Linked DNA regions of Anolis sagrei. The protein of the gene in region 1 binds, or shares a complex with, the protein of each later gene. Links are inferred from orthologs where the notes say so. Each region holds a gene or a part of one and is shown on either strand. Other genes may lie near its edges. The genes, in order: NSMCE4A, NSMCE2, non-structural maintenance of chromosomes element 3 homolog and NSMCE1.

The links.
Region 2: NSMCE4A (region 1) and NSMCE2 share a complex: the UniProt entries of both Homo sapiens proteins name them as parts of the SMC5-SMC6 complex. The link is inferred for Anolis sagrei from reciprocal best matches to the Homo sapiens genes NSMCE4A and NSMCE2.
Region 3: NSMCE4A (region 1) and non-structural maintenance of chromosomes element 3 homolog share a complex: the UniProt entries of both Homo sapiens proteins name them as parts of the SMC5-SMC6 complex. The link is inferred for Anolis sagrei from reciprocal best matches to the Homo sapiens genes NSMCE4A and NSMCE3.
Region 4: NSMCE4A (region 1) and NSMCE1 share a complex: the UniProt entries of both Homo sapiens proteins name them as parts of the SMC5-SMC6 complex. The link is inferred for Anolis sagrei from reciprocal best matches to the Homo sapiens genes NSMCE4A and NSMCE1.

What each region holds. Positions count from the first base shown.
Region 1 is NC_090023.1:200,308,101-200,315,430, reverse strand, and holds the start of NSMCE4A (non-structural maintenance of chromosomes element 4 homolog A), read right to left. Parts: upstream 3,011-7,330; 5' UTR 2,876-3,010; coding exon 2,707-2,875; intron 1-2,706. UniProt on the Homo sapiens protein: Component of the SMC5-SMC6 complex, a complex involved in DNA double-strand breaks by homologous recombination. The complex may promote sister chromatid homologous recombination by recruiting the SMC1-SMC3 cohesin complex to double-strand breaks.
Region 2 is NC_090024.1:19,390,619-19,398,273, forward strand, and holds the start of NSMCE2 (E3 SUMO-protein ligase NSE2), read right to left. Parts: upstream 3,016-7,655; 5' UTR 2,843-3,015; intron 1,431-2,842; 5' UTR 1,417-1,430; coding exon 1,284-1,416; intron 1-1,283. UniProt on the Homo sapiens protein: E3 SUMO-protein ligase component of the SMC5-SMC6 complex, a complex involved in DNA double-strand break repair by homologous recombination. Is not be required for the stability of the complex.
Region 3 is NC_090022.1:172,853,824-172,860,664, reverse strand, and holds the start of non-structural maintenance of chromosomes element 3 homolog, read left to right. Parts: upstream 1-3,834; 5' UTR 3,835-3,899; exon of another isoform or gene 3,900-3,949; intron 3,950-6,504; 5' UTR 6,505-6,520; coding exon 6,521-6,565; intron 6,566-6,841. UniProt on the Homo sapiens protein: Component of the SMC5-SMC6 complex, a complex involved in repair of DNA double-strand breaks by homologous recombination. The complex may promote sister chromatid homologous recombination by recruiting the SMC1-SMC3 cohesin complex to double-strand breaks.
Region 4 is NC_090034.1:22,524,840-22,532,812, forward strand, and holds the start of NSMCE1 (non-structural maintenance of chromosomes element 1 homolog), read right to left. Parts: upstream 3,013-7,973; 5' UTR 2,957-3,012; coding exon 2,848-2,956; intron 1-2,847. Other genes in the region: IL4R (interleukin-4 receptor subunit alpha), read left to right, coding at 3,088-3,269, 3,342-3,496, 5,776-5,927, 6,062-6,212, 6,944-7,037, 7,153-7,222, 7,331-7,392, 7,587-7,973. UniProt on the Homo sapiens protein: RING-type zinc finger-containing E3 ubiquitin ligase that assembles with melanoma antigen protein (MAGE) to catalyze the direct transfer of ubiquitin from E2 ubiquitin-conjugating enzyme to a specific substrate.

The DNA.
Region 1 (7,330 bases):
CTATAAAGCCCTAAACGGTTCCGGCCCAACTTACCTATCTGAATGTGTCTCCCCTTATGAACCTTCCAGGAATTTAAGATCATCTGGGGAGGTCCTGCTCTCGATCCTGCCTGCCTCACAGATGCTCGCTTGGCGGAGACGGGAGACAGGCTTTCTCAATGATGGCCTCTCGGCTGTGGAACTCCCTTCCTGGGGATATTAGATCGGCTACCTCCCTCCTGATCTTTAGGAAAAGAGTAAAAACCTGGCTCTTTGTGCAGGCTTTTGGAACCTCATTGTAACCAGACAAACTCAGTATTGCGAACGAATATGGACATGGATTTTAACCTGGAAGTCATTGATTTTTATAGTTTTAAATTATTTTTATATGAATTTCATTATGTGATTTAACCTGTTTTAAATGATGTACTTATGTGTGTTTGGCATCTAATTGTTGCCAGTCTGTGTGCTGCCCTGAGTCGCCTTCGGGTTGAAAAGGGTGGGATAAAAGTGTGGTAAATATTTACTTATTTATGACATTTATATGCCGCCTTTCTCACCCCGAAGCAGACTCAGAGCAGCTTACAAGATATAGATATATATACATACAATATATTATATTATTAACATAGTACAATATCAGTATTATATATTACTATATTGTACTATGCCATTATATTGTAATATAATAGATCCATCCTAGGAGAGAGAAAAACAGGAATAGCAACCCTTTCAGACTAATTACAGTTGGCCTTCCATATCCACATCATGGGATTCAACCATCCGGATTTAATTTTTTATAAGAATCTCAAAAGCAAAGCTTGGTTTTAATCATTTTACTACACCATTGTATATAATGGGCCTTTAGCATCCAAATTTGGGAATCTGAAGGGGATTCTGGAGCCCAGTGCCCTGAAAAAGAGAGCCATGGAAGATGCTCAGGTTTTCTACGGAAGGTTCTTTTCTGACGTTGACAATGTATGATGGCTTTAACTGCCATGCCCTAATGCTGTGGAATCCTAGAAGCCGTAGTTTTATACGGTCTTTAGCCTCGTACTGTTAATGTACTGTTACAAGGCCATTTTATTTCATCATTTTGGTGCTGAAAAGAAGATGCAGCAAATGATGGTTTCTTTTACTTTTGCCATTTTATATAAAGGGCACTATTTTACTCTGTTATATATACTAGCCATCCCCTGCAACGCGTTGCTGTGGCCCACATGGGGGTTCTGTGTTGGAGGTTTGGCCCAATTCTATTGTTGGTGGGGTTCAGAATGCTCTGTGATTGTAGGTGAACTATAAATCCCAGCAACTACAACTCCCAAATGTCAAAATCCCATTTTCCCCAAATACCACCAGTGTTCACATTTGGGCATATTGAGTATTCTTGTAGAGTTTGGTCCAGATCCATCATTGTTTGAGTCCACAGTGATCTCTGGATGTAGGTGAACAACAACTCCAAAAACAAAGGACACTGCCCACCAAACTCTTCCAGCATTTTCTGTTGGTCATGGGAGAACTGTGTGACAAGTTTGCTTCAAATCCATCGTTGGTGGGGTTCAGAATATTCTTTGATTGTAGGTAAACTATAATTCCCAGTACAACTCCCAAATGACAAAATCAATTTTTTGAGTGAAGGACATACAATGGGTTGTTAGGTGCCTTGTGTCCAAATTTGGTGTCAATTCTTCCAGTGTTTTTTGAGTTCTGTTAATCCCACAAACGAACATGGCCGAGTAGGATAGTCTTCAAGGATCAGTATTCTGGTGGGTGACTGTGGAGCCCTATTCTTGATCTGCATCTTCTCCCACAGTGAGGGCATTGGTTTCCAGGTGGAAGGCGGTCTCGATTGGGGTTGGCTTGACGTGCCTTCCTTTTGGCACGTTTCTCTCTTTCACCTTCCATTCGTGCCTCTTCAAATTCTGCAGCACTGCTGGTCATAGCTGACCTCCAGCTGGAGCGCTCAAGGGCTAGGGCTTCCCAGTTCTCAGTGTCTATGCCAGAGTATTTAAGGTTGGCTTTGAGCCCATCTTTAATTTTATTTTTTCCTGCCCACCAACATTCCGTTTTCCATTCTTGAGTTCAGAGTAGAGCAACTGCTTTGGGAGACGGTGGTTGGGCATCCGGACAACGTGGCCGGTCCAGCAGAGTTGATGGCGGAGGACCATCGCTTCAATTATGGTGGTCTTTGCTTCTCCCAGCATGCTGATGTTTGTCCGCCTGTCTTCTCAGATTTGCAGGATTTTCCAGAAGCAGTGCTGATGGTATTGCTGCAGGAGTTGCATGTGACATCTGTAGAAAGTCCACATTTTGCAGGCATATAGCAGGGTTGGGAGGACAATAGCTTTATAAACAAGCACCTTGGTATCCCTAGGATGTCCCGGTCCTCAAACACTCTCTGCTTCATTCGGAAAAATGCTGTGCTCGCAGAGTCCCCATTGGGGAGATGGTGGCGGGATATAAATAAAGATTATTATTATTACTATTCCAAGGAGTAATATAATACAGACTTGAAATGAATGCAGTTTGACACTTACATTTTCCAGGCTCAGTGCTATGGAATCAAATGGCTTTGTAGTTTGATGAGGCCCCAGCCTTCTTGGACAGAGAAAGCTAAAGGTCTTGCGAAACTACAACTCCCAAGATCCCATAGCATTAGGCCATGGCAGCCAAACCACATGCATCCCACAGTGCAGATGCGTGAAAGGTAGGGAAAGCCACACTTACCCTGACAGTTGGCGATCAGCTGCCGGTATTGCTGGCGGAGCAGCCGCCGCGTCGTCTCGTCCGTCTCCTGCCCGATGCAAGTCCTCCTTTCCTTCTCCGCCCCGCTCTTCTTCCTTGGGCTGCCCTTCTTCTCCATCTCCTCGGCAGGCCGGTCCTTCCCTTCAGCCATGGCTGCTCTCCCGCCTCGCTCGGTTATTTAACCTGCGACTTCCGGCGAGGCGGAACCTTAGAGAAAGGGGCCCGAGAGCCAAGCGGACGTTTGATGCCACGGAATGAATAGGATCCAATAGCACTTCCGGCTAAAGTGAAACCAGCGGCTGGATGGACGTCGCTCTAGAGTAGTAACTCTATGTTCAAAACTTAGCCTCTCTGTTGTATATTGGCGCCTCTTCATTGGCTGCAAGAAAACAAACAAAAACAAAGGCTTGCCATCCCGTTGGAGTTGAAAGGCATAGAATTGTGTCACTACAGCAAAAACAATAGAAGACATAATCTCTCCCTATAAAAGTCAAAATATGGAATATTTGTATGTTTACATGTTTGTTTGTATATTTGAACCACAAAGGCTCCCTTAAAGCTTGGTGAATCTGGACCAAACTTGGCACACAGACCTATCCTGGCCAATTTAAAATACTGGTGGGATTTTGGGGAGGGGAGAAATTGACAGGATGATGGGAATTGTAGTCCAGCCACATCTGGAGCAATGTACGACTCCCACCAATAGTGGATCTGGATCAAACTTGGCACTCATTACTATCATTACCAGTTTAAATTACTGGGGGTTTGAAAGGATGATGGGAGTTGTAGTCTAGCCACATGCAGAAGCTGTGTAAATCCCACTAATAATGGATCTGGATCAAACTCAGCACACATAACCATTATGACGAGCTTAAACTACTGGCAGGGTTTAGCGGTGAATGACAGAGGATGATGGAAGTTGTAGTCCAGACACACATCTGGAGTGAATCTCAGTAATGCTTGGTCTGGATCAAACTTGGCACACATAACCATTATGATCTAATAAACTACCAACATGCTTTAGGGATCAATGATGGGGTGATGGGAGTTGTAGTCCAGCCACATCTGGAGGGCTGTGTAAATCTCACTAATAATGGATCTGGATCAAACTTGGCACACATAACCATTATGATCTGATAAACTACCAACATGCTTTAGGGATCAATGATGGGGTGATGGGAGTTGTAGTACAGCCACATCTGGAGGGCTGTGTGAATCTCATTAATAATGGATCAGGATCAAACTTGGCACACATAACCATTATGATCTGATAAACTACCAACATGCTTTAGGGATCAATGATGGGGTGATGGGAGTTGTAGTACAGCCACATCTGGAGGGCTGTGTGAATCTCACTAATAATGGATCTGGATCAAACTTGGCACACATAACCATTATGATCTGATAAACTACCAACATGCTTTAGGGAGCAATGATGGGGTGATAGGAGTTGTAGTCCAGCCACATCTGGAGGGCTGTGTGAATCTCACTAATAATGGATCTGGATCAAACTTGGCACACATAACCATTATGTCCAGCTTAAATTGCCAGCATGATTTGGTGTGTGTGTGTGTGTGGGGGGGGGGGGGGGGTTGAATGGCAGAGGATGATGGGAGTTGTAGTCCAGCCACATCTGGAGGGCTATGTGAATCATACTAATGATGGATCCGGATCAACCCTGGTATGCATAACCATTATGACCACCTTAAACCACCAATATGGTTTAGGAATCAATGATGGGATAATGGGAGTTGTAGTCTAGCCACATCTAGAGGGCTATGTGAATCATACTAATGGTGGATCTGCACCCAACTTGGCATGCATAACCATTATGAACAGCTTAAACTACCAATATTTTTAAGGGATCAATGACAGGGATGATGGGAGGTATAGTCCATCCAGATTCCAATGAGTCATGTAAATCCACCAACAATGGATCCAGTTCAGACTTGACACACATACCCTTCATGACCAACTTAAAATACTGGCAGGGCTTCAGGCAGACTTGACAGAGCATGATGGGAGTTGTAATCCATTCACATCCAGAGAGCCTTTCTTATGGCAACCCTCATAGCGATACTAGTCTAATGTTCAAAACATTATGCCAAGTTGGCAATGTGAATAAATGATATTCTATTATTTATAATGCTTGGGTAGCAAGATGTATAAGAGAACAATATAGCTGCGCAGACGACCCTCCACACTTGTGGAGGAAAATTTGTTTTGCTAATTCTTGAAAGCTATTTATTGTTCGGAGAGATCGATCAAAGCTGTCATAATTGTAAACACATTTCATGGGAAGAAAGCCCCGTTGAAAATTAGGCATTACTATTGTTGTTGTTTGTTTCCCCTTTCTCTTACAAAAAGGTAAACAACAAAAGGGGGGTTATAAAATTAGCAGAGATTAGGATAAAAGGACATACTGTATTCAATATAACTTGAAGTTGATTTAAATAATGGTTCTAGCTTTATGTATCCAGCAGAGGGAGATGGTGAACACACTTAATTAAGCCACCAGGATAATCTACATAAAAGAATCAAGATACAATGAGCCTCAAAGAAAATACATTTGTGATTTTTGTTTTTGAATTAAGGGTGCATCTACACTGTAGAATTAATTCAGTTTGACACGACTTTATAACTGACATGGCTCAAGGCAATGGAATCATGAGAGTTGTAGTTTTACAGGTTTTAGCCTTCTCTGTCAAAATGTTATGGTGCCTCATCAAACTACAGATCCCAAGCTTCCATAGCATTGAGCCACGGTAGTTAAAGTGGTTTCAAACAGAATTCTACAGTGTAGATGCATCCAAGGAGTATGTAACCTGATAATTCCTCCCCATTCTGTATTCTGTTGGTTAAAATCTGTTCCTTGTAACTACACTTGCTACGTAGGGCTGATTGGGGTAAATTGTAGGGGTGATAATGAAATATGATGTATATACTCAGCTTGATCAGTTTATCAGTTTTATCATGTCTTAACATATGTATTTACTGTATTATTATAAGTGTCTTATTTTAACTTTCTACGTGGAGTGTGATCAGGTCTTGTCAGGCCTTGTTGTTCTGTTTCTTATTGTGATATGGCCTAAGGGCTAATCAATAAAATTACTACTACTACTGTTCCTTGTAGCATCTTAGGGGAATCGATTTTGACATAAGGAATAGCTGTCAAGGAAAAGTAGAAAAGTTAATTATCTTTTTCCCACATAGCTTCTTAGGGAAGTGATTTTATTTTTTAAAAATAATTGGGATGGACTCATTAGCACATATACAGCATAATGATTCCATCGACCACATGAAGAAACATCCTGGCCTGAAACTGATTTGTTAGTTCCAATAAGAGCAGACCCATTTAATCAATTCTTGAATGGTAAAACAGCGCTTACATAAATCCCATACTCTCATCAAGACCACCCATAGGATAGATAAAAGGACATACTGTGTTCTATATAACTTTTAAATTTGTGCCAAAGGTAAAGGTTTTCCTTGACATTAAGTCTAGTCATGTCTGACTCTGGGGGGGGGGGGTGCTCATCTTCAATTCTCAGCCAAAGAGTCAGCATTGTCCATGGACACCTCCAAGGTTACGTGGCCAGCATAACTGCATGGAGCCATTACCTTTCCCAGAAGTTGTACCTATTGATCTAGTCACATTTGCATGTTTTTGAAGAGCTAGGTGGGCAGAAGCTGGGGCTAACAGCAGGAGTTCACCCCACTCCCCGGATTCTAACTGCCAACCTTTCAGTCAGCAAGTTCAGCTGAACCACCATGGGGCCCAAAGGAAGTACCCAGAGACCTTTTACTGCTGCAAAATGTTTCATGACTCTATGGTGTTCTAGATCACTAATAAAGATACAGGAGATTTTTTGTAGTTTTCAACTTTGAAACCCTAGGGGTTGCTACTGTGTGTGTCTAAGAGAAAGGTGGGATTATTTATTATGCATGGAGTCTTGTTGATTCTCGAGCAATGCCTTTTTTGGGAAAAGGACAAGCTGTTTAAATACTAGTAAACATTTATGATTTCCTAATTCTTCAATGGAAAGTATGGGGGAAGGAAGAGAAAGTTAGATTTTTTTTAATAGTATACATAGGAACCAGTGGTCAGATGACACTAAATTATGAAGGCTAGTTAATACTCCAGAGGACATGATCATAATTCAAAACAACTTTGAAAAGTTAGAGAGCTGGAGGGAAACACAATAAAATGAATTTCAGTAGAGAGAAATGTAGGGTGCTACACTCAGGCAGGAAAAATGAAATGCAGATATAACATGGGTGACACCTGGCTTAAAAACAGTATATGTGAAAAGGATCTGGGAGCCTTGGTAGACCACAAGCTACTAAATCATTTGGTGTGATACAGCAGCTAAAAGAAAAACCAATGTGATTTCAGAATGCATCAGTAGGAGTGTAGTGTCTAAATCAGTGGTTCCCAAGCAATGGGCCACAGCCCACAGGTGGGCTGCAAGATCTAAAATAAGGTCTGTGGCTCTAGATTATTAAATATGCTTTTCTGTGGGTGATCAGATGGTGACTACTGGATGGCATATGTTCTGTGTCAGAAACTTGAGCTGATGTGATCTATCCAATATAATTTTCAGAA
Region 2 (7,655 bases), on another chromosome or scaffold:
CTTACAATCAAAGAGCATTCGGAACCCCACCAACAGTAGAATTGGGCTAAACATCCCACACAAAACTCGGCACTATAAAAGAGTTTTGCGAGACCTGTCGCAACAGTGTAGTAATGGTGAGGCAGCGGACCGTATTTTAGTCCTTGTGGACCACTGGTGGTCCACAGACCACAGGTTGGGAACCACTGCTGTGGAAATTATTTTTTTCTGTTTTGGCCAAACTCTCTCACTCAGAAAGGGGAGTTCGAGTTCCCACCAGATTAAAGATGGATTAAAGACCTCACAACCTCTGAGGATGCCTGCCATAGATGCAGGCGAAACGACAGGAGATTTATTTATTTGTCGTGTCAGAGCAGCCAGTCCATTATATTACATTTCTAACATAACAAAGCAAACAAACAGAAAAATACACAACTTGTGACTTTGGTAGCTGGTTAAATGTCCTTTGACCAGTATCTGGCCACTTGGAGTGCCTCTGGTGTTGCTGCAAGAAGGTCCTCCATGGTGCATGTGGCAGGGCTGAGGGTGCATTGCAGCAGGTGGTCAGTGGTTTGCTCTTCTCCACACTCGCATGTCGAGGATTCTACTTTGTAGCCCCATTTCTGAAGGTTGGCTCTGCATCTCGTGGTGCCAGAGCACAGTCTGTTCAATGCCTTCCAAGTCGCCCAGTCTTCTGTGTGCCCAGGAGGGAGTCTCTCATTTGGTATCAGCCATTGGTTGAAGGGCTGGGTTTGAGCCTGCCACTTTTGGACTCTCGCTTGCTGAGGTGTTCCAGCGAGTGTCTCTGTAGATCTTAGAAAACTATGTCTAGATTTAAGTCATTGGCGTGCTGGCTGATATCCAAACAGGGGATGAGCTGGAGATGTCTCTGCCTTGGTCCTTTCACTATTGGCTGCTACTTCCCGGCGGATGTCAGGTGGTGCAATACCGGCTAAGCAGTGTAATTTCTCCAGTGGTGTAGGGCGCAGACACCCCGTGAAAATTCAGCATGTCTCATTAAGAGCCACATCCACTGTTTTAGTATGGTGAGATGTGTTCCACACTGGGCATGCATACTCAGCAGCAGAGTAGCACGGCGCAAGGGATAATGCTTCTGGAACATGGCCATACAGCCCTGAAAACTTACAGCTACCTATTGATACCGTCCATGAAAGCCTTCAACGACACATTAAAGATGGATAGCGCTCATTTCTTTCCCTGAGCATTCCAGGACAGATAGGAAACCCTGAGAAGTGATTGCAGCAAGAATAAAGCTATTTGTTCAAAAAATGAGAGAAACTCACTGCGATTTTCCACAAGGTCAAAAGCAACCTTGGTAGCCATCTCCATTCCGGTACTTATATAGGACTGGCAGTGTTTCAGAGAGGAAAGGCATGTATCCACGCCGGCAAAGGAGACCACACTTTGGCTAGACATTCTGGTCTAATTTCCTGGGGGAAAAATATATGTATTATTATTATATATTTGTATTCATTTATTATATTGGCATCCCACCTTCCTCCCAACATGGAACCCAATTAGAACCTGTGACCTGTCGGTCTTCAGTCCTGTTGGCACAGGAGTTTAACCATTGCTCCACTGGGGGCTCCATAATAATAATAATAAATATAAATAAAGCTGACACAATATGAGGATTTAAAGATCGAACTGCAGACTCTGGCACAAGCCAGTCAAGGTGGTCCTGATCAGCGATTGGCACACTGGGTGCAGTGCCTAAAGACCTTGGCCTGCACTTAAACACAATCGGCACTGACAAAATTACCATCGGCCAGCTGCAGAAGGCCACCCTACTGGGATCTGCACGCATTATTCACCAAGACTAGACACTTGGGAAGTGTCCGACGTGTGATCCAATACAACAGCCAGCAGAGTGTCTACTGTGGACTCATCTTGTGGTGTTTCTAATAATAATAATAATTAAACACAATCGGCACTGACAAAATTACCATCGGCCAGCTGCAGAAGGCCACCCTACTGGGATCTGCACGCATTATTCACCAAGACTAGACACTTGGGAAGATGAGTGTCTACTGTGGACTCATCTTGTGGTGTTTCTAATAATAATAATAATTAAACACAATCGGCACTGACAAAATTACCATCGGCCAGCTGCAGAAGGCCACCCTACTGGGATCTGCACGCATTATTCACCAAGACTAGACACTTGGGAAGTGTCCAACGTGTGATCCAATACAACAGCCAGCAGAGTGTCTACTGTGGACTCATCTTGTGGTGTTTCTAATAATAATAATAACAATAATAATAAATGTAACATTAATAAACAGAACTGCAAAGACTCTGTGACAAGCTAGAAAAAGGTGGTCCCAGTGGTGATTGGCACACTGGGCGCAGTGCCTAAAAACTTTGGCCTGCACTTAAAAACAATCTGCACTGATTGAATACAAAAGCCAGCATACTGATCTTGTTCACTGTGTACCAATCTTGTTGTGTTTCTAATAATAATAATATTTCCTGTGTGTGATCCAATACAACAGCCAGGAAAGTGATCTTGTTCGCTGTGGACTCATCTTGTTATGTTTCAAATAATAATACATATTATTATTATTATTATGTTGATTTATAGCCCACTTTTTCTCTTATAATTGTGAAAGTCAAAACTATTTCTCTCTTTGCTCAAACTAAACATTTGCTGGCATAACTAGAACAAGTTTTGGAAGGAATGCTGTGTCCAAATACATTTGGAGGAGTTGGGGGAGTTTTGCAAGGTCTTTAGCTGTTCAAAGAGCAAGAACTCCTGGTTAAAGCGGTGCCAAACTGCGTTAATTCTGCAATGTAGATGCATCCAAGCTTCCATCCAATCCACCCAGCAGCAACTTCTTACTTTGCAAAGCCTTGGCTCTTGGGCTGCCTTTCCTTTTTTTAATTTTTGCAGGGAGGCGCAGGGCTTAGAAAAGAAGGGGATCCCTTTGCTCCCTTTCTCTGGGTCTCTTTCCACTGCTGGATCCGGATCCAGACACCCATTTGCTCTTGAAAAGGAGGAGGAGGAGCCTGTCCAAAAGGGAAGCGGATCAGCATCACCCAGAGCCTGGTTCACATGACCTGAGAAAGCTCCCATGTGATGCAAGGCGAGAGGAAGAGGCTGCTGAATGGTGGGTTTGCTTTCTCTTCTTGCATTTTCTCTGGGTGTTTCCTGCAAATTCCAGGCTGAATTCCAACCTCTTGTTTTTTTTCTGCTGCTGGAAGAGGATCAGGTCAGCTGTTTGCATTTTTGGGAGAAAGAAATAATTATATAACAAAACAAAATTGGAGGTGGAGGGGGGAAAAAAGAGGAAGGGATTTGTTTACTATCTTCCTGGTAGAAAGAGAGCTTGCAAGGTCTATGCAGGGCAATGAAAAAGGACTGGGGAGGGTTGGTTGGGAAATAATTCCCCATTAAACTGGTTGGTTATTGACACCAGGGGTGGGTGGGTGCAGCTATACTATAGAATTAATGCAGTGCTCTTACCTACAAGAAGCACTGCCTGAACATCAATCAAAAAGTGGGTGCTAGAAACAATATCATACGAAAGCTGACTGGCACAACCTGGGGATCACAACCAGATACAGTGAAGATATCTGCCCTTGCGCTGTGCTACTCGGCTGCTGAATATGCATGCCCAGTGTGGAACACATCTCACCACACTAAAACAGTGGATGTGGCTCTTAATGAGACATGCCGCATTATCACAGGGTGTCTGCGCCCTACACCACTGGAGAAATTACACTGCTTAGCCGGTATTGCACCACCTGATATCCGCCGGGAAGTAGCAGCCAATAGTGAAAGGACCAAGGCAGAGACATCTCCAGCTCATCCCCTGTTTGGGTATCAGCCAGCATGTCAACGACTTAAATCTAGAAATAGTTTTCTAAGATCTACAGAGACACTCGCTGGAACATCTCAGCAAGTGAGAGTCCAAAAGTGGCAGGCTAAAACCCAGAACCTCAACCAATGGCTGATACCAAATGAGAGACTCCCCCCTGGGCACACAGAGGACTGGACGACTTGGAAGGTGCTGAACAGACCGTGCTCTGGCACCACAAGATGCAGAGCCAACCTCAAGAAATGGGGCTACAAAATGGAATCCACAACATGCGAGTGTGGAGAAGAGCAAACCACTGACCACCTGCTGCAATGCAACCTGAGCCCCGCTACATGCACAATGGAGGACCTTCTTGCAGCAACACCAGAAGCACTCCAAGTGGCCAGATACTGGTCAAAGGACATTTAATCAACTACCAAACTCACAAATTTTGTATTTTGTCTGTTTGTTTGCTTTGTTCTGTTAGAAATGTAATATAATTGACTGGTTGCCCTGACACGACAAATAAATAAAGTGCAGTGGGTCAGTGCAATGGGATCCTGGGCGTTGTAGTTTGGTGAGGCACCAACACACTTTGGGACAGAAGACTTGTAAAATGACAATTCACTTGATGCCATAGCATTAAGGCAAGGCAGTTAAATCTGCATTAATTCTACAATGTAGACGAACCCTAAAATGCCCCAGCTGGTAGGTTAAGGTAAAGGTTTCCCCCTGACATTAAATCCAGTCGTGTCCAACTCTGGTTGGCGCTCATCTCCATTTGTAAGCCAAAGAGCCAGCGTTGTCCATAGACACCTCCAAGGTCATGTGGCCGGCATGACTGCATGGAGCGCTGTTACCTTCCCACTGGAGCAGTACTTATTGATCTACTCACATTTGCATGTTTTCGAACTGCTAAGTTGGCAGAAGCCGGGGCTAACAGCGGTAGCACACCCCACTCCCCAGATTTGAACTGCTGACCTCTCGGTCAGCAAGTTCAGCACTTCAGCAATTTAACCCATTGTGCCACTGGGGCCCCCAGCAGGGAGGTTGTATAATTAATGCATATTATTATTAATATTATTATTATACACTTTATTATATATATATATATATATATATATATATATATACACACACACACATACATAATGCATTATATATAGATACACACACACACCATGGTGGCGCAACAGGTTAAACCATTGAGCTGTTGAGCTTGCTGACCTGAAGGTTAGCAGTTCAGCTCCTGCTGTCAGCCCTAGCTCCTGCCAACCTAGCAGTTCGAAAACATGCAAATGTGAGTAGATCAATAGGTACCGCCTTGGCAGGAAGGTAAATTGGCGCTTCATGAAGTCATGGCTACGTGACCAGGAGGTATGTATGGACAACGCAGGCTCCTCAGCTTGGAAATGGAAATGAGTACCTCCCCGCAGAGCCAGAGATGAGCACTGCCTCCAGAGCCGGAGATGAAAGGGAAAGCCTTTGCCTTTGTATTTGTGTTCCATTGTGTTTCAGAGGTATTGAATGTTTTTCTGTGTCTGTTTACATGCTGGAATCTGCTTTGAGTCCCCTCGGGGAGATAGGTTATTATTATTATTATTACAATATATTATTTATTATTGTTATTATTATTGCACACTTACCTTGTTACATCATCTGTTCCCAGACCTATACAGGTTCCTTACTTCCCAACATCATTTAGACAACATTATAAAAATGCAGCTCTTGTCCGTTCTATTCTAATTTCACCCATTGCATATATTGGTTATTCTAATATATTTACTAATTGTTCATCCACGTCTTTCTTGGTTGTTTGATGTTCTGAATTTGCCATTACTTTTGGATATGAAGCAGGTGAATGGTGTCCACTTGTTATCAAATAGATCTTTTATTTATCTTTTTGCTAATCTTAATGTATAAGTTAACTTTTCTGATAGGGCTATAACTACAGATTTCACAATTCCATACTATGTAGCTGCAGCCTTTAAGCCATTTCAGGTTGCAGAATTCAACTGATTGATTCCTCAGTGCCTCTCTTCTCAGGCACCTAACATACTACAGATCCCAGAAGACCTTAGTGTAGAACCATGAGAGTTAACATGGAATGAAACTTGTATAACTGCATAATAACACACTTTCTCTTATGTTGAAGCATGGTAAAAGAGGTTTAGTATGCAGAAAGATGGTGAATTAATGCAACTCCAGTATGGGTGCGGATGGGAAGTGGCTTGCCTTAGTGACAGGAAGAGAAGAAATATTGAGCAATATTGGTCAGACTCTCATTGGGAAGTAGTTGGTAATAATAATGATAAATCTTCAAGGCACATGTGCTTAAAACAAATTGGAAATTATACAACCTTCTATTTGTTTATTTATTTACTGTATTTGTAAACCGCCTTTCTCAGCCATTCGGTGACTCAAGGCAGTTTCCAACAAATTAGTACATATAAAAACATAATACAGATTAAAACATTAAACAATATAAAACACCACAAAAACAATAAAAACAACATCATTAGCGTCTCATTATCAAGCATTGTCCAGTTCCATTGTCAAATCGTTCGATTTCCTATATTAGCTACTCTGCATTGGTAAACACTTTCTCAAACAGCCATGTTTTAACTTGCCTCCGAAACGTTAAGAGGGAGGGAGCAGATCTAATCTCCCTAGGGAGGGTGTTCCATAGCCGAGGGGCCACCACTGAGAAGGCCCTGTCTCTCGTCCCCACCAAACGTACTTGAGACGAAGGCGGGACCGAGAGCAGGGCCTCCCCAGATGATCTTAGAGTCCTCAATGGTCCATAAGGGGAGACAAGTTTGGACAGGTAAGTTGGGCCAGAACCGTTTATGGCTTTATAGGCCAAAGCCAGCACTTTGAATTGGGCCAGGTAGCAAACCAGCAGCCAGTGGAACTGGCACAACAAGCGGGTTGTATGTTCCCTGAGCGCTGCTCCTGTTAGCAACCTGGCTGCAGTTTGTTGGACTAGTTGAAGCTTCCGGACCGTCTTCAAAGGCAACCCCACATAGAGAGCGTTGCAGTAGTCTATTTGGAATGTAATCAGAGCGTGGACTACCGTGGCCAAGTCAGACTTTCCAAGGTACAGGCGCAGCTGGTGCACAAGCTTTAACTGTGCAAATGCTCCCCTGGTCACCGCCGAAACATGAGGTTCCAGGCTCAGCGATGAATCCAGGATCACACCCAGACTGCGAACCTGTGTCTTCAGGGGGAGCCTAACCCCATCCAAAACAGGCTGTAACCCTATGCCTTGTTCGGCCTTGCAACTGACCAGGAGTACCTCTGTCTTGTCTGGATTCTATTTCAGTTTGTTTGCCCTCATCCAGACTGTCACAGCGGCCAAGCAGCGGTTCAGGACCTGAACAGCCTCCTTAGTAGTTGATGTTGGACTACAACTCTTAACATTCCTCACCACTGAATATGCAAACTAGAGTTGCTGGGAATTGCAGTCCAACCATATCTGAAAAGTATAATGATTCCCACTACAATATAGAATTAATGCAGTTTCACACGACTTTAATTGTTGTGGCTTAATGTTGTGACATTGTGGGAGTTGTTGTTCTACAAGGTTTATTTTTAGCCTTCTCTGCCAAAGAGTGCTGGTGCCTTACCATACTACTACTAATAATAATAATAGTAATAATAAAAACTTCATTTATACCCCGCCACCATCTCCCCAAGGGGACTTGGGGCGGCTTACATGAGGCCACGCCCATCAATACAGTAAAAACAATATAACACAAAAACACAACAGAAAATTAGAAAATAAAATAACGTAAAATACAAAACCAATGTAAGTAAACAACACAACAATATAAAATCGAAATATTAAGACAC
Region 3 (6,841 bases), on another chromosome or scaffold:
GATAAAAATTGTACAGCAAGGAGTGGATAAAAATGTGATAGTTACTGATTTTTGTCTTTGGGTGTTTAATCCTGAAGATAATGAGCTTATGCAGATTTCCTTTTTTCCAGGCCACCACACATCGAGAATATTGAAATGATCAGACTCCTTTGTTTTGAGCCACACTTTGGGGTTATTTCTCAATGAGAAACAATAGTTGGATCATTTGCTTCCTGACAGGTAAAGGTTAATGTTTTTCTGTCCCATAAGTAAAACAGAACCCGTTTAATAGATATATAGGAATAAAAGTGGGATAAAATATAGTTTATAGAAGAGAGAGACAAGTCTGGGGATGATGGGAAGGCCTGGGATTTTTATGCAAAAGAGAGGACACGGCTGCATCTCAATCTGGCTTGCTGCTCTTCGAAAAGTATAAATCCCTAACTATTAACATTTTTATTAGGGGTGGGGGTAGGGTGTTTAATAATATTTTGAGTTTTAGGATACAGAATATATTCATATATTCGGTTGCTGTGAGTTTTCTGGGCTGTATGGCCATGTTCCAGAAGCATTGATGTGGCTGAAATGTCAGGAGAGAATGCTTCTGGAACATGGCCATACAGCCTGGAAAACTCACAGCAACCCAGTGATTCTGGCCATGAAAGCCTTCAACAACACATATTCATATATTAAAGGTACAGGTTCCCCTGACATTAAGTCTAGTCATGTCCGACTCTGGGGGTGGTGCTCATCTCCATTACTAAGCTGAAGAGCTGGCATTGTCCATAGACACCTCCAAGGTCACGTGGCCAGCATGACTGAATGGAGTGCCATTACCTTCCTACCTATTGATCTACTCTTATTTGCATGTTTCCAAACTGCTAAGTTGGCAGAAGCTGGGCCTAACGACGAGAGCTCACCCCGCTCACTGGATTTGAACCACCGACCTTCTGGTCAGCAAGTTCAGCAGCTCAGCGGCTTAACCTGCTGCACCATCAGTGGCTCCATTCATATATTGTAAAGAAGAAACTGCAGAAACTATCGAGGTATCTCCCTTCTAACCTCAGCTGGGAAAATCCTCGCAAAAATCCTTGCAAATCGCCTTCTACCCCTCTCAGAAGACACCCTCCCAGAATCCCAGAACGGCTTCCGCCCCTCCAGAGGAACAGTGGACATGATCCGCACTGCACGACAGCTCCAAGAAAAATGCAGGGAACAAAATCAACCTCTGTACATGGCATTCATTGACCTCGCAAAGGCATTTGACACAGTGAATCGCAGCGCTCTCTAGACCATCCTCCAGAAAATCGGGTGCCCTGACAAATTTGTGAACATCCTGCGGCTCCTCCATGATGACACGATGGCAACAGTCTTGGACAGCAATGGCTCCCAAAGTGACCCATTTAAGGTGGAAGCAGGTGTCAGACAGGGATGTGTTATTGCCTCAACCTTATTTTCCATCTTCATCGCTATGATACTTCATCTTGTTGATGGGAAGCTTCCCACCGGAGTGGAAATCATCTATGGGACAGATGGCAAGACTGAAAGCCAAAACCAAGGTTACAACAACATCTGTTATAGAACTCCAGTATGCTGATGACAATGTCTTCTGTGCACATTCAGAAGACCTACAAGCTGCTCTAAACACCTTTGCAGAAGCATATGAGAAGCTCGGCCTGTTATTGAACATCGAAAAAACCAAAGTGCTGTTTCAGCAGTCACCAGGCAATCCCTCTCCAATGCCAGAGATACAGCTTAATGGAGTAACATTAGAAAATGTTGACCATTTCTGCTACCTTGGCAGCCACCTCTCCACCAAAGTCAACATTTACACTGAAATTCAACACTGCCTGAGCTCTGCGAGTGCAGCATTTTTACGAATGAAGCAGAGAGTGTTTGAGGACCGGGACATCCATAGGGATACCAAGGTGATTGTTTATAAAGCTATTGTCCTCCCAACCCTGCTATACGCCTGCGAGATGTTGACAGTCTACAGACATCACATGCAACTCCTGGAATGATTCCATCAGCACTGCCTCCGAAAAATCCTGCACAAGTATTGCACTGTATGCAACAAACACTTGCAAATGTATGTCTACTTAAATAAAATAAAATTTTAAAAAATTTAAAAAATCCTGCAAATCTCTTGGGAAGACAAGCGGACAAACGTCAGTGTGCTGGAAGAAGCAAAGACCACCAGCATTGAAGCGATGGTCCTCTGCTGTCAACTCCGCTGGACCAGTCACTTTGTCTGGATGCCCGATCACCGTCTCCCAAAGCAGTTGCTCTACTCCGAACTCAGGAACAGAAATAGAATGTTGGTGGGCAGGAAAAGAGATATAAAGACAGGCTCAAAGCCAACCTTAAAAACTCTGGCATAAACACTGAGAACTGGGAAGCCCTGGCCCTTGACCGCTCCAGTTGGAGGTCAGCTGTGATCAGCAGTGCTCTAGAATTTGAAGAGGCACGAATGGAGGGTGAAAGAGAGAAATGTACCAAGAGGAAGGTGCCGCAAGCCAACCCCGACCGGGACTGCCTTCCACCTGGAAACCAATGCCCTCACTGCAGGAGAAGACGCAGAGCAAGAATTGGGCTCCATAGTCACCTACGGACCCACCCTCAGGATACTATACTTGGAGGATCATCATCCTCGGACGAGGGATCGCCTAAGTAAGTCATATATTACTCATATTATTTGTAGTTCACAAATCCTGTTATGATCATCTTACTATTTTTTACAAAGCCCATCAAAGGTTTCCATTCTTCTTGCCGTTTGTGCAAATTAGTTTGTTGTAAAATTAATTTGTCCACTTCAGCCATTTCAAAAACATTTGGAATCCAACCATCTGTCATTGGTACAGTTGGTTGCTTCCATAATTTTATATACAGGGTGAGGCTGCATAACTTTTTAAAAAATGCGCGCCATTCAGTCGGTTAAAGACGTAGCAGAGCGCTAGTGGTCTCGTTCAAGAGACGGGAGTATAAAGTTTTGTCCTGACACAGTTCAGTCGCCATCATGCGTTGGAACAGCGAGGAGCGTGCTTTTGCCGTTGAGGCCTACTTTTCGAGCGGATTTGGAGTGGCCGGCCCGCTCTCCAGATTTGGCCCCTTGTGATTTTTTTCTGTGGGTGTTTTGAAATCCTGTTTATGTGAACCGTCCATGGACCCTACAAGACTTGAAGACCAACATCCAGGAAAAAATTGTCAACATAACGCTGGCAAGAGTCATGACAAACGCCAGAAATCAGTTTACTCAGTGTATGGAGAATGGAGAATGGGGGACGTCACCTACTTAATTTGATCTTCAAAACTACGTGAAACAAAACTTTAGGTATGCACCTACATTATTAATTCTGATTCATACAATGGGTTTTATTAAGTTTCGAAAAAGAAGTTATGCTGCCTCACCCTGTATTTAGATAAAATGTTCCTATTGTTTATATCCATTTAGGGAACTAGAAATATATCCCTATTTTTCGTTTTCCATTCATAAAAACCCCATAACTGCCACGGGGAACATGCTGTGAAATTCTGAGAATTGTAGTTTTGCCAGGGTCCCGCTCTAAACTACAAATCCCAGGTGGTTGACATGGCAATTAATAGAATAGCGCTGTAACAGTATAATGTGGCCATTTTTTTTTCTCCCCCACCCACAGCGTATGAATAGGCAGAGAATGCCCTTATATATGAAACTTATGCCAGGCTCAAACTGAGTGATTTATGAGGAGAGACATCATTCCCACCTTCGCCCGCCATTTTCCTTGCCAGGGTCTGCAGTTAAAACGCGCATGCGCACTGTTTTTTTCCTCTCAGGAGGAAAAAAAACTAATCAGAACTTCCTCTATCATCGAAGGAGCATGCGCACTAGGAAGTCCGGGTGATAGAGCGTGCGCATGCGCAAACCGGCGGCAGTCCTGGTGGTTAGTATCAGCGAGTAGGAAGGCGGGAAAGTGGCTCTCTGGGCATTTAGGCAAGTTGTTGGAGGGTTGGGATGCAGTCAGGACAATACTGCTATGTCTCAGTGGTATAGTATCCTGGGATTTGTAGTCTGGTGAGGCCCCAGCACCTTGTGGCAAAACAGCTAATGTCCCTGTAAAACTAGAAGCCTTGGGTGCATCTAGAGCAGGCCTCAAACCATTAAATAGCCAGGCAAGGGCTTCTGGGAGTTGGGAGTTGGAGAGCTACAAGTTCTGCAGGCCTGCTCTAAACCATAGAATAAATGCCGTTTGCCTGCCATGGCTCAATGATCTGTAATCCTGGGAGTTGTAGTTTTACAAGGTCTTCACTGTCAATTGGACACACCTGGAATACTGTGTCCAATTCTGGGCACCACAATTGAAGAGAGATATTGACAAGCTGGAATGTGTTGATCATTTTAGTCGCCCTCCAGAGGAGGGCGACTAAAATGATCAAGGGTCTGGAGAACAAGCCCTATGAGGAGTGGCTTAAGGAGCTGGGCATGTTTAGCCTGAAGAAGAGAAGGATGAGAGGAGATATGATGGCCATGTATATGATAGCCTTCTCGGTGGTGGCCCCTCACCTGTGGAACTCACTCCCAGGGGAAATTAGACCAGCGACATCCCTCCTTTCCTTCAGGAAAAAGTTGAAAACGTGGATTTGGGATCAGGCATTCAGACAACCTGGCAGATGAAAAAGGACGTGGCAATAGAATGGAATTGACATACACAATGGAATTAAGGGAATCTGGACAATGCATGCTGAGTTTGTGATTAGTTTTTAATGATTGTGTTATTGTTAACTGTTTAATTGTGATAAATGCTGATTGTTGTTTTATATGTATATGTACTCTATGTAGGCATCAAATAGTGCCTTTTTTGTAAGCTGCCCTGAGTCCCCCCCTAGGGGGTTGAGAAGGGTGGGGTAAAAGTAACTGTAATAAATAAATAAATGAATATAAATATGTGAGAGGAAGTCACGGGGAGGAGGGAGCAAGCTTGTTTTCTGGCTTCAAACTACAAGAAAGGAGATTCCATCTGAACATGAGGAAGAACTTCCTGACTGTGAGAGTTGTTCAGCAGAGGAACTCTCTGCCCTGGAGTGTGGTGGAGGCTCCTTCTTTGGAAGCTTTTAAACAGAGGCTGGATGGCCATCTGTCAGGGGTGCTTTAAATGCAATATTCTTGCTTCTTGGCAGGGGGTTGGACTGGATGGCCCATGAGGTCTCTTCCAACTCTTTGATTCTATGAAAGCGTGCTGGTGCCTCACCAAACTACAACTCCCATGAGCCCATAGCACTGAGTCATTGCAGTCAAAGTGGTGCCAAACTGCATTCATTCTACAGTGTGGATACACTCTAAATTTCCAGAACTAGCTGGTCTTACATATTTGAACATGGTTGCTCCTGGGTTGAAATTTAGCAAGCGAGGGGCTTAAAACCAACTCGAGAAGCCCAGTCTGTGGGAGGGGAAAGAGGCTCCAGGTTTTAATGTTGGTTTCAGGAATTGATCTTTAAAATCAATATTACTCTGGAATTCATTGCCCGGAGAGATCAGGAAAGCCCCTGTGTTAGAAACCTTTAAAAATTACAGTCTTAAGACCTGGCTCTGCCGTTGCTCTTTTGGAGAGTAGCCACATAATTTTATGAAATTGCTCCCTCAATGTTCTTGTCCCAGGAGCGCCCCCCCCCCCTTTGTACGAAGGTTTGTTTATTTTCCTATCTCTGTGAGCTCTCCCTTCCAATTAGTTCTGCCCCCTTATCTCACCCGCAGTTTTTAAATCATTTTATGTATATGCGGCCCATTCTCTGTTTGATTTTTATGTTCAGTGTATATTGTTTTATATGTTTTGATGTTTTACACTTTAACGTTATGTTGTTTATTTTACTGCAGTTTGTATTTTTGTATTGTAGTTTGTTGTTCGGGCTTGACCCCATGTAAGCTCTCCGAGTCCCCGTTGGGGAAATGGTGGCAGGGTATAGATAAAGTTTATTATTATTATTATTATTATTATTGGCTGAGAGACAGAAATATACACGATTTCCCCATCAGCAGGTTATCTGTCCGAATGTATATTTCCCCTACGAACAGCTTGGAGACTAAGATCATCTGGGGAAGCCCTGCTCTCGGTCCTGCCTGTCTCACAAGTACGGCTGGTGGGGGATGAGAGATAGGGCCTTCTCAGTGGTGGCCCCTTGGTTTTAGAACTCCCTCCCTAGCAATATCAGATCAGCCTCCTTCCTACTAGCTTTCAAGAAGAGAGTCAAAACCTGGCTCTGGAAGCAGGCTTTGAAAATTAGGACAATGCAGTATTCCAAATATAGAATTATGTGCAATTTCACCAAGGAATGAACTCTGGATGGCGTGTTTTTAACTTTGAGTATATTTTAACCATTTTAAACATGTTGTAATTTTAAACTATTTTATGGTGAATTTGTTGTTTTGAGGCACTGTGTATGTGCCATTGTAAGCTGCCTTGAGTCTCCCTGCTGGGGTAGAGAAAAGTGGGGTATAAATATGGCTAAATAAATAAATAATCTGACCTAACATTTTCTTCCTGTCCTTTACAGATAACTCATCAGAAAGATGTCACAGAGCAGGCGTAGTAGTAAAGGACCTGGCCCTTCTCAGGTATTACTATTGTCTTATTTATTTATATCCCGCATTCCTCTCTTAAAAGAAACTAGATGGCTACAAACAACACAACGTGTGTCCGTTGTTTTGTAGTGTGGTTTAATTCATGTGTAGTTTATCCTGACCCCATAAAATTAATGCAATACTTACAATATGTACAGGTTTTCACTGAGAGAGAAAAACAGGACAGAAGATGGAGCTAGATCTTTCCTGTATTTAGGTGTGATATCATAGTACAAAACACCTGTAGTATTTTCAACTTCACACACTTCA
Region 4 (7,973 bases), on another chromosome or scaffold:
TGAGTTTTTCGGGCTGTATGGCCATGTTCCAGAAGCATTCTCTCCTGACGTTTTGCCTGCATCTGTGGGTGGCATCCTCAGAGGTTTGATTGGAGGTATGTGGGAATGAGACAAGAGGGGTATATATATATTTGTGGGGTGTCCAGGGTGTGAGGAAAAACTCTTTTCTGTTTGAAGCAAGTGTTTAAATTTTGCAATTAGTTAGCTTGATTAGTATTGATTAGCCTTGCAGATGGTTGTCAGAGTGGTCCAGCATTTTAATGTTCTCAGATAATATGCTGTGTCCAGGTTGGTTCATCAGGTGCTCTGCTATGGCTGACTTCTCTGGTTGAAGTAGTCTGCAGTGCCTTTCATGTTCTTTGATTCGTGTTTGGGCATTGGTGTGTTTGGTGGTCCCTATGTAGACTTGTCCAAAACAGCATGGTATGCAGTAGACTCCTGCAGAAGTTAGAGGACCCCTCTTGTCCTTTGCTGAATGGAGCATTTGTTGAATGTTCTTGGTAGGTCTTTGGGTTGTCTGTAGATTCATTAGCTTCCCTATGCAGTCAGTGGCTCCCTTGACGTATGGTAAGAACACTTTCCCTCTAAGTGGATCTTTCTCTTTACTCTGTCATAGCATACCCATTAGCCTGTAGAGCCCAGTTTAGATGGTTTAGTTCACCTTAAAGGAGGTGGGAATACAGACAAGGCTGTGATGTCCAGCATTTTGAACAGTGACAGAGGCACTGAGTGGAGGTGCAAAAAGAGGGACCAAAAAGCATTGAGGCACTGAGTGGCACCAAACCAGGAACCAAGAATGGCACATCTTTCTCATGCCTGGCTTCAGGAGCTAAGCAGAGCCAGGCATGGCTACAACATGGGTAGGAGAGGGCCTCAGAGCATCCCCCCCTTTGTCAAGGGCCCCATGATTGGTTTGTTTTGGTGTCACCCTCAGTCAGAAGAGGCTTGAAGGCAACCAGCCATAGCAACCACAAGCCCAATGCCCAGGAAAGGAGCCCCAGAGGGAAGCTTAGGGACCCCGATTGCTGTCACCAGCCAGAGGGATATTGGGTCCAAAGTACCACCACTTTGTACTTTGCCTGGAAACTAATTGACAGCCAGTGGAGTGACTTTCGAATAGGTGTAATATGCTCATTTCTAGATGTTTCCATAATGAATTTGGCTGCCATATTTTGAATCAGCTGGAGTATCTGACCTTGGTACAAGGGTAGTCCAATGTAAAATGCACTGCAGAAGTCTGACCTTAAGGTGACTACCATCTTCAGGTCCACCAAATCTATAAAGGGGTGCGGCTGTCAGATCAGCCAAAGTTAGTAGTAAGCCCTCTGACTATTGTCGCATCTCCCTGGGCTGACATTTGGAGAGACGGATCCAGGAGAATCCCAAGCTGCGGACACAGTCTTTCAGGGGGAGTGGGATCTGTAATATATGTAAGCTTCACTTGCCTCACTGAAAACAGAACCTCTAAAGATGTTGGGCACAGATGCAGACAAAATGTCAGAAAAGAATGCTGCAGGGACATGGCCAAGCCTGTAGCCAAGGGGGCAGTTTAGGGGTTCAACTACCCCCAAAATTTTTCAGGTAAAAAAAACCAACCAGGTTTACTCATGAATTTTAACTGATTAACCAAATCCTCCTGCCAAGTCAATGAAAAGCAGAAATGGGAGTCTCTCCAGAACTGTAAGCACTATCTCAATGCAATTTTGATTATTCACACTATCAATACCTAGCTTTCTACCAATTTACATTGCAATAGCAGCAATATTTGACATAGTGGAAGCTGCCAAAATGTGGTAGCCACCAGGCAAAGCTTAAGGTGTGGGACTGTGGGCGGGGGGATTTGACCTGGATTGCAGGTGAAAACTGAGGAAACGGGTGTCCACCACTGGTCCATTTCAACCCAAATGGTTCAGCAGATTTCCCTGGTTAGCCTATTCATGTCATGTACAAGGTGCACTCTGCAAGTACGGTGCGGTGCTTGGAGGAGAAATTGGAAGTAAAGGTGGTCATCAGAACCTTGGTGTATTGGTTGCTAGACAATTTGTGTGATGGGAAATTGCAATAGACATCTTCAATAGACACCAAAAAACAGAGTACCATCAGAACAACTTGTGCTTGGCTAAAAAACCCTTCCTCGTTCACTGTGGAAAATGTCTTGATGAGAAAGGAAATCAGAAGGAAGAACAAGAAAACAGAAAAAAAATCTGCCTTTTGTGGAAACTATTGTCCTTTGTAGCAGACAAGAACGGGCTTAAGGAGAGAACCGTGATTCAGGACCTATTACCTGTGAAGAGGGAGCCCTCGGTGGCGCAGTGGGTTAAACCCTTGTGCTGGCAAGACTGAAGTCTGACAGGTGGCAGGTTCGAATCTGGGGAGAGCGTGGATGAGCTCCCTCTGTCAGCTCCAGCTCTCCAAACGGAGACATGAGAGAAGCCTCCCACAAGGATGGTAAAACATCAAAACATCCGGGCAACCCTGGGCAAGGTCTTTGCCTGCGGCGAATTCTCTCACACCAGAAGCGACTTGCAGTTTCTCAAGTCGCTCCTGACATGGAAGAAAAACCCCTGTGAAGAACCTTTGCTTAATGATGCAAAGGGCCTTGTTGTTGAAGAGAGACTGATCTAAAAAGACATCTTGGGTGGGGGAAAAATTCAACCGCTCACATTTTTTTTTCTGGCTACGGGCCTGACTCCATTTGCCTCACTGCCAATAGAACCTCTAAAAAACTCATTAACCAGAGATGCAGGCGAAACGTCAGGAGAGAATGCTGCTGGGACATGGCCATACAGCCTACAAAACTCACAGCAACCCAATGCACCTGGGTTTCGACATGACTCCTCCTCTCACCGCGGTGGGCCTCGCAAGCCAGGCGCTGCAGCTTCCGCGCCCGCTCCGCCTCCACCAGGCCCAGCCCCAGGAGCGCCTGGAGCAGCTGCCGGTGCGCCTCCGTCATCATGGCCGCGGAAGGAGGAGGGGAGGAGGCCTCCGAGGGAGGAAGCGGAAGTGGACTGCCTTCGCCCCGCCCCCCCCCGCCCCTCCCCCGTTGCTGTGCTGCCTCAGAGAGATGCCCAGCGGAGGGAAGGGAGGATGGCGTCCACCTCTCCGGGGCCCTTCGGCCTCTTCCTCCTCCTCCTCCTCTTCACCGCCTCCTCCTCGTCAACCCTCGCCCCGTCTTGCCACACGGACTTCTTTGAGGCCTTGACCTGCTCCTGGGAGGTGCCCCCTTCTTCCGACTGCGGCGACTTCCGCCTCCTCGTCGAGCCCCCGCGGTAGGTAGGCCTTGCCTCGAGTGCGCATGCGCGCAGGGTGGGACCCCTCATCATTCCCCCTTCCTTTCCCAGGGAGACCTGCCTTCCGGTTCGAGAAGATGGTCGGTGCCGCTGCCTCCTCCACAGGAAGGATTTCCGCTACGTTCGGTTCTGCCTGAAGCTGGAGCAGAGGGAGGGCGCCCGGTGGAAGATCGCCTGGAACGCCACGCCGAATGCCGAAGAGTTAGGTGAGGGAGAAGGGGCCCCTCTCTTTCCGGAAGTGCTGGCCTTCAAGGGGCCTCGCCCTTTGAAAAAGAAAAAGCCAGGCAGAACCAAGGACAACTCCTTGGCAGCTGGGGCTGAAGGCAGGCCTGGGCCAACTTGGCCCCTCTGGGTGTTTTGGACTTCTACTCCCACAATCCCTAACAGCCGATAAAACAACTTCAGTTTATTTATCGTGTCAGAAGCAAATTGAGAATCTATATATATAAATCTGTTAGGTTGGTTCAACGGGACAGCAAAACTCCACAACCCCCCAACGAAACTGCACCAAAATTGCCATGCCCCAAGGACAACCCACTCGGTACAAACTAATCCATTCAAAATTGAAAACAACACAACCACACACAGAAAAAACGGCAAAACAACTGAGCATGCGCACTGGTGCAAAGTCCCCAGCGCGCGCGCTCACATGGCCAAACGGCCAACGCACCCTCCGCACTTCCCTCCCTCCCTTGCCCCGCCCAGCACGAACACGTCGCCGCCCACACACACACACACACACAAACAACGGAACTTCCCCCCCGCCACCTTCCCTCCACCCCCTTCCCTCCACCCCCTCCTTCATCTTACCCCCCACCTTTGTCTTCAAAGTCGCCCCCACCCTTCACCCCCATCCCTTCCCTCCCTGACTCACTCCTCCCTCCCCCTCCGGAAAGACACGCCCCCTCCCTTCGCCCCAACCCTTCCCTCCGTGACCTTGAGTATGGGAGTTGTAGTTCACCGACATCCAGACAGCACTGTGGACTCAAACAGTGATGGATCCGGACCAAACTTGGCATAAGCATTCAATACGCCCAAATATGAACACAGATGGAGTTTGAGCGAAATAGACCTTGACATTTGGGAGTTGTAGTCACTGGGATTCAGAGTTCACCAACACTCAAAGAGCATCCTGAACCCCACCAACGACAGAATTGGGGCAAACATGCCACACTGAACCCCCATGACCAACAGAAAATGCTCAAGTTTACACACAAGCATAAAGAAGGGAGAGGAAGGAGGGATGCCAGAGGGGGGGGGGGGGGGGGGAGAAAGGAGTGTGAGAGAGAGAAAGAGGGAAAGAGAGTGAGGGAAGGAAGGAAGAGAGGCCAGGCAGAGACTTCAAAACTCTTACTAAAGGCCACAGCAACGCGTGGCAGGGCACAGCTAGTACAGTTATAAAGTATTAAAAACCATAAACAAAGTTAAAATCTTGGCATTATGATCAGAAGCTGGCCATTTGGGAGTGCCTCTGGTGTCACTATAACAAGGTCCTCCATTGGCAGGGCTCAGGCTGCATTGTAGTAAGTGGTCTGTGGTTAGCTCTCCCCCACACTTGCATGTCATGGACTCCACATTGTAGCCCTGTTTAAGGTTGGCTCATGGTGCCAGAGCGCAGCCTGTTCAGCACCTTCCAAGTCTTCTGTGTGCCCAGGAGGGAGTTTCTCATCCAGACTCAGCCACTGATTGAGATTCCGGGTTTTAGCCTACCACATTTGGACTCTTGCTTGCTGAGATGTTCCTGCAAGTATCTCTGTAGATCTTAGGAAGCCATTTCTTGATTTAAGTCATTGGCATGCTGGCCAATATCCAAACAGAGAATGGGCCAGGGATGTCAAGAACTCCAATAAACATATTAAATAAACATAATAAATAGAAATAAATATATCTTCCAGAGAGATAACCCAGATGCGCTGTTTGCATTCTGTGACTTAAGCATTGCTTCAGGCCACAGAAGCTGAACAGCAGTGATGGATTGCCGATTAACATCGGAAACCACAGAAAGTGTCAAGAAAGGATGGGTTGCTGAGTCATCCAGGAGCCAGGCTCAGGCAGCAGAAAACAAAGAGGCAGCAACCACTGCAGAGCCAAACAGAGGAGGAAGGAAGGGGGATTCTGGTTGAAGAGTCTACCCATCTCAACCTTCTCTGCCCTGGGATTCAGGCAAGAGGCCTGAGAAACCTCTCCCTCCCTTTTCCCTCCTTCTCCACCAGTATTTTGCATGCAGACGTTCCAAGGGGAGGCAGGGCAGGTGAGAATCCTGTTCTACCTGCCCCCACCCCATTTATAACAATACCATTACTAAATTTACATCTGACATAATTGTGGTGGGGCTTCTTCTCTCTGAAGGGGAGGAGCCTGCCTATCAGGATGAGGTAGATCAGCTGCTCTCATGGTGCAGGGACAATAATCTGGTTCTTGATACCAATAAGGTTATAGGTTTAGGGGCTTCCCAGGCCCTTTATCTTCTCCTCCCTCTCTGCAGTGAAGCCTCGTCCGATGGTCAACCTGACAGCTACGAAGCAGGACCGCTCCTTCCACCTCTCCTGGCAGTGGGACTACCCCAAGGAAAGCCCCCTGGTTACTGCCATGGCCTACTTCCAGGTGTCCTACTGGCCAAAGGGCCAACTGGAGAGGGTAGGTGACCTTGTGGACCCCACTGGCCCTAAGGCGAAGGGCCAGTCGGAGGGTGAGAGAGTCCCTCTGGGTCCTGCCTCCCTCCCTCCTGGGGCTGGAACTCCACCAAAACCTGTGCCTCCCTTTCCTCCAAGGCAATCAGTGCCACCGTCCAGAAGCCGACCTACGACATCTTCGCCGACCGCCTCGAGTCTGCCTCTGACTACGTTGCCAGGGTCCAGGTCAAGCTGGAAGACTGGGGGGACATCTGGAGCGACTGGAGCCAGCCATATGAATGGCGCAATGGTGAGCGCCTCCGGGCTGCAGGGGCACCATTGCCTATTATTCATTTGCCCAAAGAGACCCCTCCCCCTCCCAATGCCCATGTGGGGAAAGTGAGGCTTATGATAAGGGGGATGGGGGTCTTGCCTTCCGGATTTTTTAAAAATGAATTTTATTATTATTTCCAAAGTGTACACATTCTAACTACTGATATACAAAGCCACCAGTCAACAGTAGTAATTTTACACTTTCCAACAGTAAAACACACGTAACCCATTTAAAAGAAAACTTCCCAACCCTACGCTAAGATGGCGTCTTACAACAGTTTGTCCTATCAAGCAATGTATATTCATATAAATATATATATGTAAATTTTACAAAATGTATTCAAAAGTGATCTAATTATACAACATGTATTTTTAATCACTCAACACTCTTGTAGATCAGTTTTTAAATGTTCTAATTATATATTGTGCAAAAGGTTTCCAATTATTTTGAAAACATTGTATTATTTTATTTCTAAGAAGACAAGTTAGTTTATCAACTTCTGCAAAATTTAGCAGTTTGGTCCACCATTCATTTACAGATGGAATAATACTTTCCTTCCAGTGTCTGGCATAAACTATTCAAGCAGCTGTTAGTGGGTTTTGGGGGGGGAAACCCAATATTTTCCTTGTTGATGATATCATTTACCAGTCCCAACAAAAATATTTCTGGTGAAAACAGTATATTCTATTGTAAAATATGCCTTCTAGATTTTGAGCCAGGAGAGGAGCCCTGGAAGCTGGCGCTGTGGTCCTGCATCCCAATTGTTGCCATGATCCTGACCTGCTACCTCTGCCTCGCCAGGTGAGTTGCAAAGTGGGATTTCAAGAAGCAGCCTCGGCCAAAGAAGTGGTCAGGCTATCTCCTCTTCCTCCAGCCAAGCACCGGATCAAGTTTGTTTGTGGAACTTGCTTTGCAGGGTGAAAAGGGACTGGTGGGATCGGATCCCAAGCCCTGCCAAGAGCAAGATGGCCGAGAGCCTGGCCAAGGTAGGAGCCGCCCCATGGTGGGAGGGCGAGTGGGCTTTAACGGCGTCGCTCCCTTTGGGGTGGTCTGAGGCAGATGTCTCATCCTGAAGCTTCTCCTCAATCTTCCAGTTTCCTCCTGGGAAGCAGATCCCACACAAAAGGAAGACACTCCTGCCAGGACCAAGCAAAGGGTGAGCTCATCAGCTGCACAGTGATGTGAAAAGTCTCTGATCCCATTCTTCCCTGCTGCCAGGAGGGTGTCGCAGGAAAGATCCCATCAGACAATGGGAAATGATCAAGGGGCAGGTGGAGCCCATCCTGACCTGATTTTTTTGTTCTGCACAGTACTTGAGCCTTATGTCTATGTGTTTTCTCCCCCAAACAGAATTGGCAAGGGCCTCCAGGGTGTCCCTCCAGTACTCCAGGAGGCAGACCCTGGCTCCAGACCAAAGGCCTTCCTGATGCCAGAGGTGGCAGTGGTTGAGTCCCCTCTGGTGGTTTGCAGCCGCATGCCTGAGACCAAGACCGAGGGTTTCCTCAAGGAGGAGCAGGAGGAAGAGGAGCCGATTCTCCCTCGCCAAGATGCAGTTGCTGGCCTCTTCCGGGACCTTCTGGATGGAGGCTTTGGAAGCGGAGAGGCCCGGGTCCTTGAGCTTCTGCCTCCCAAAGAGCAGGGAGCCCCAATAGGCTTTTCTCTGGAAGCATCACCCGGACCCAGCTTCCAGGGCTCTGTCAATGTGGGGTCTGTGGGGAGTCTGGCCGGAACTGGACA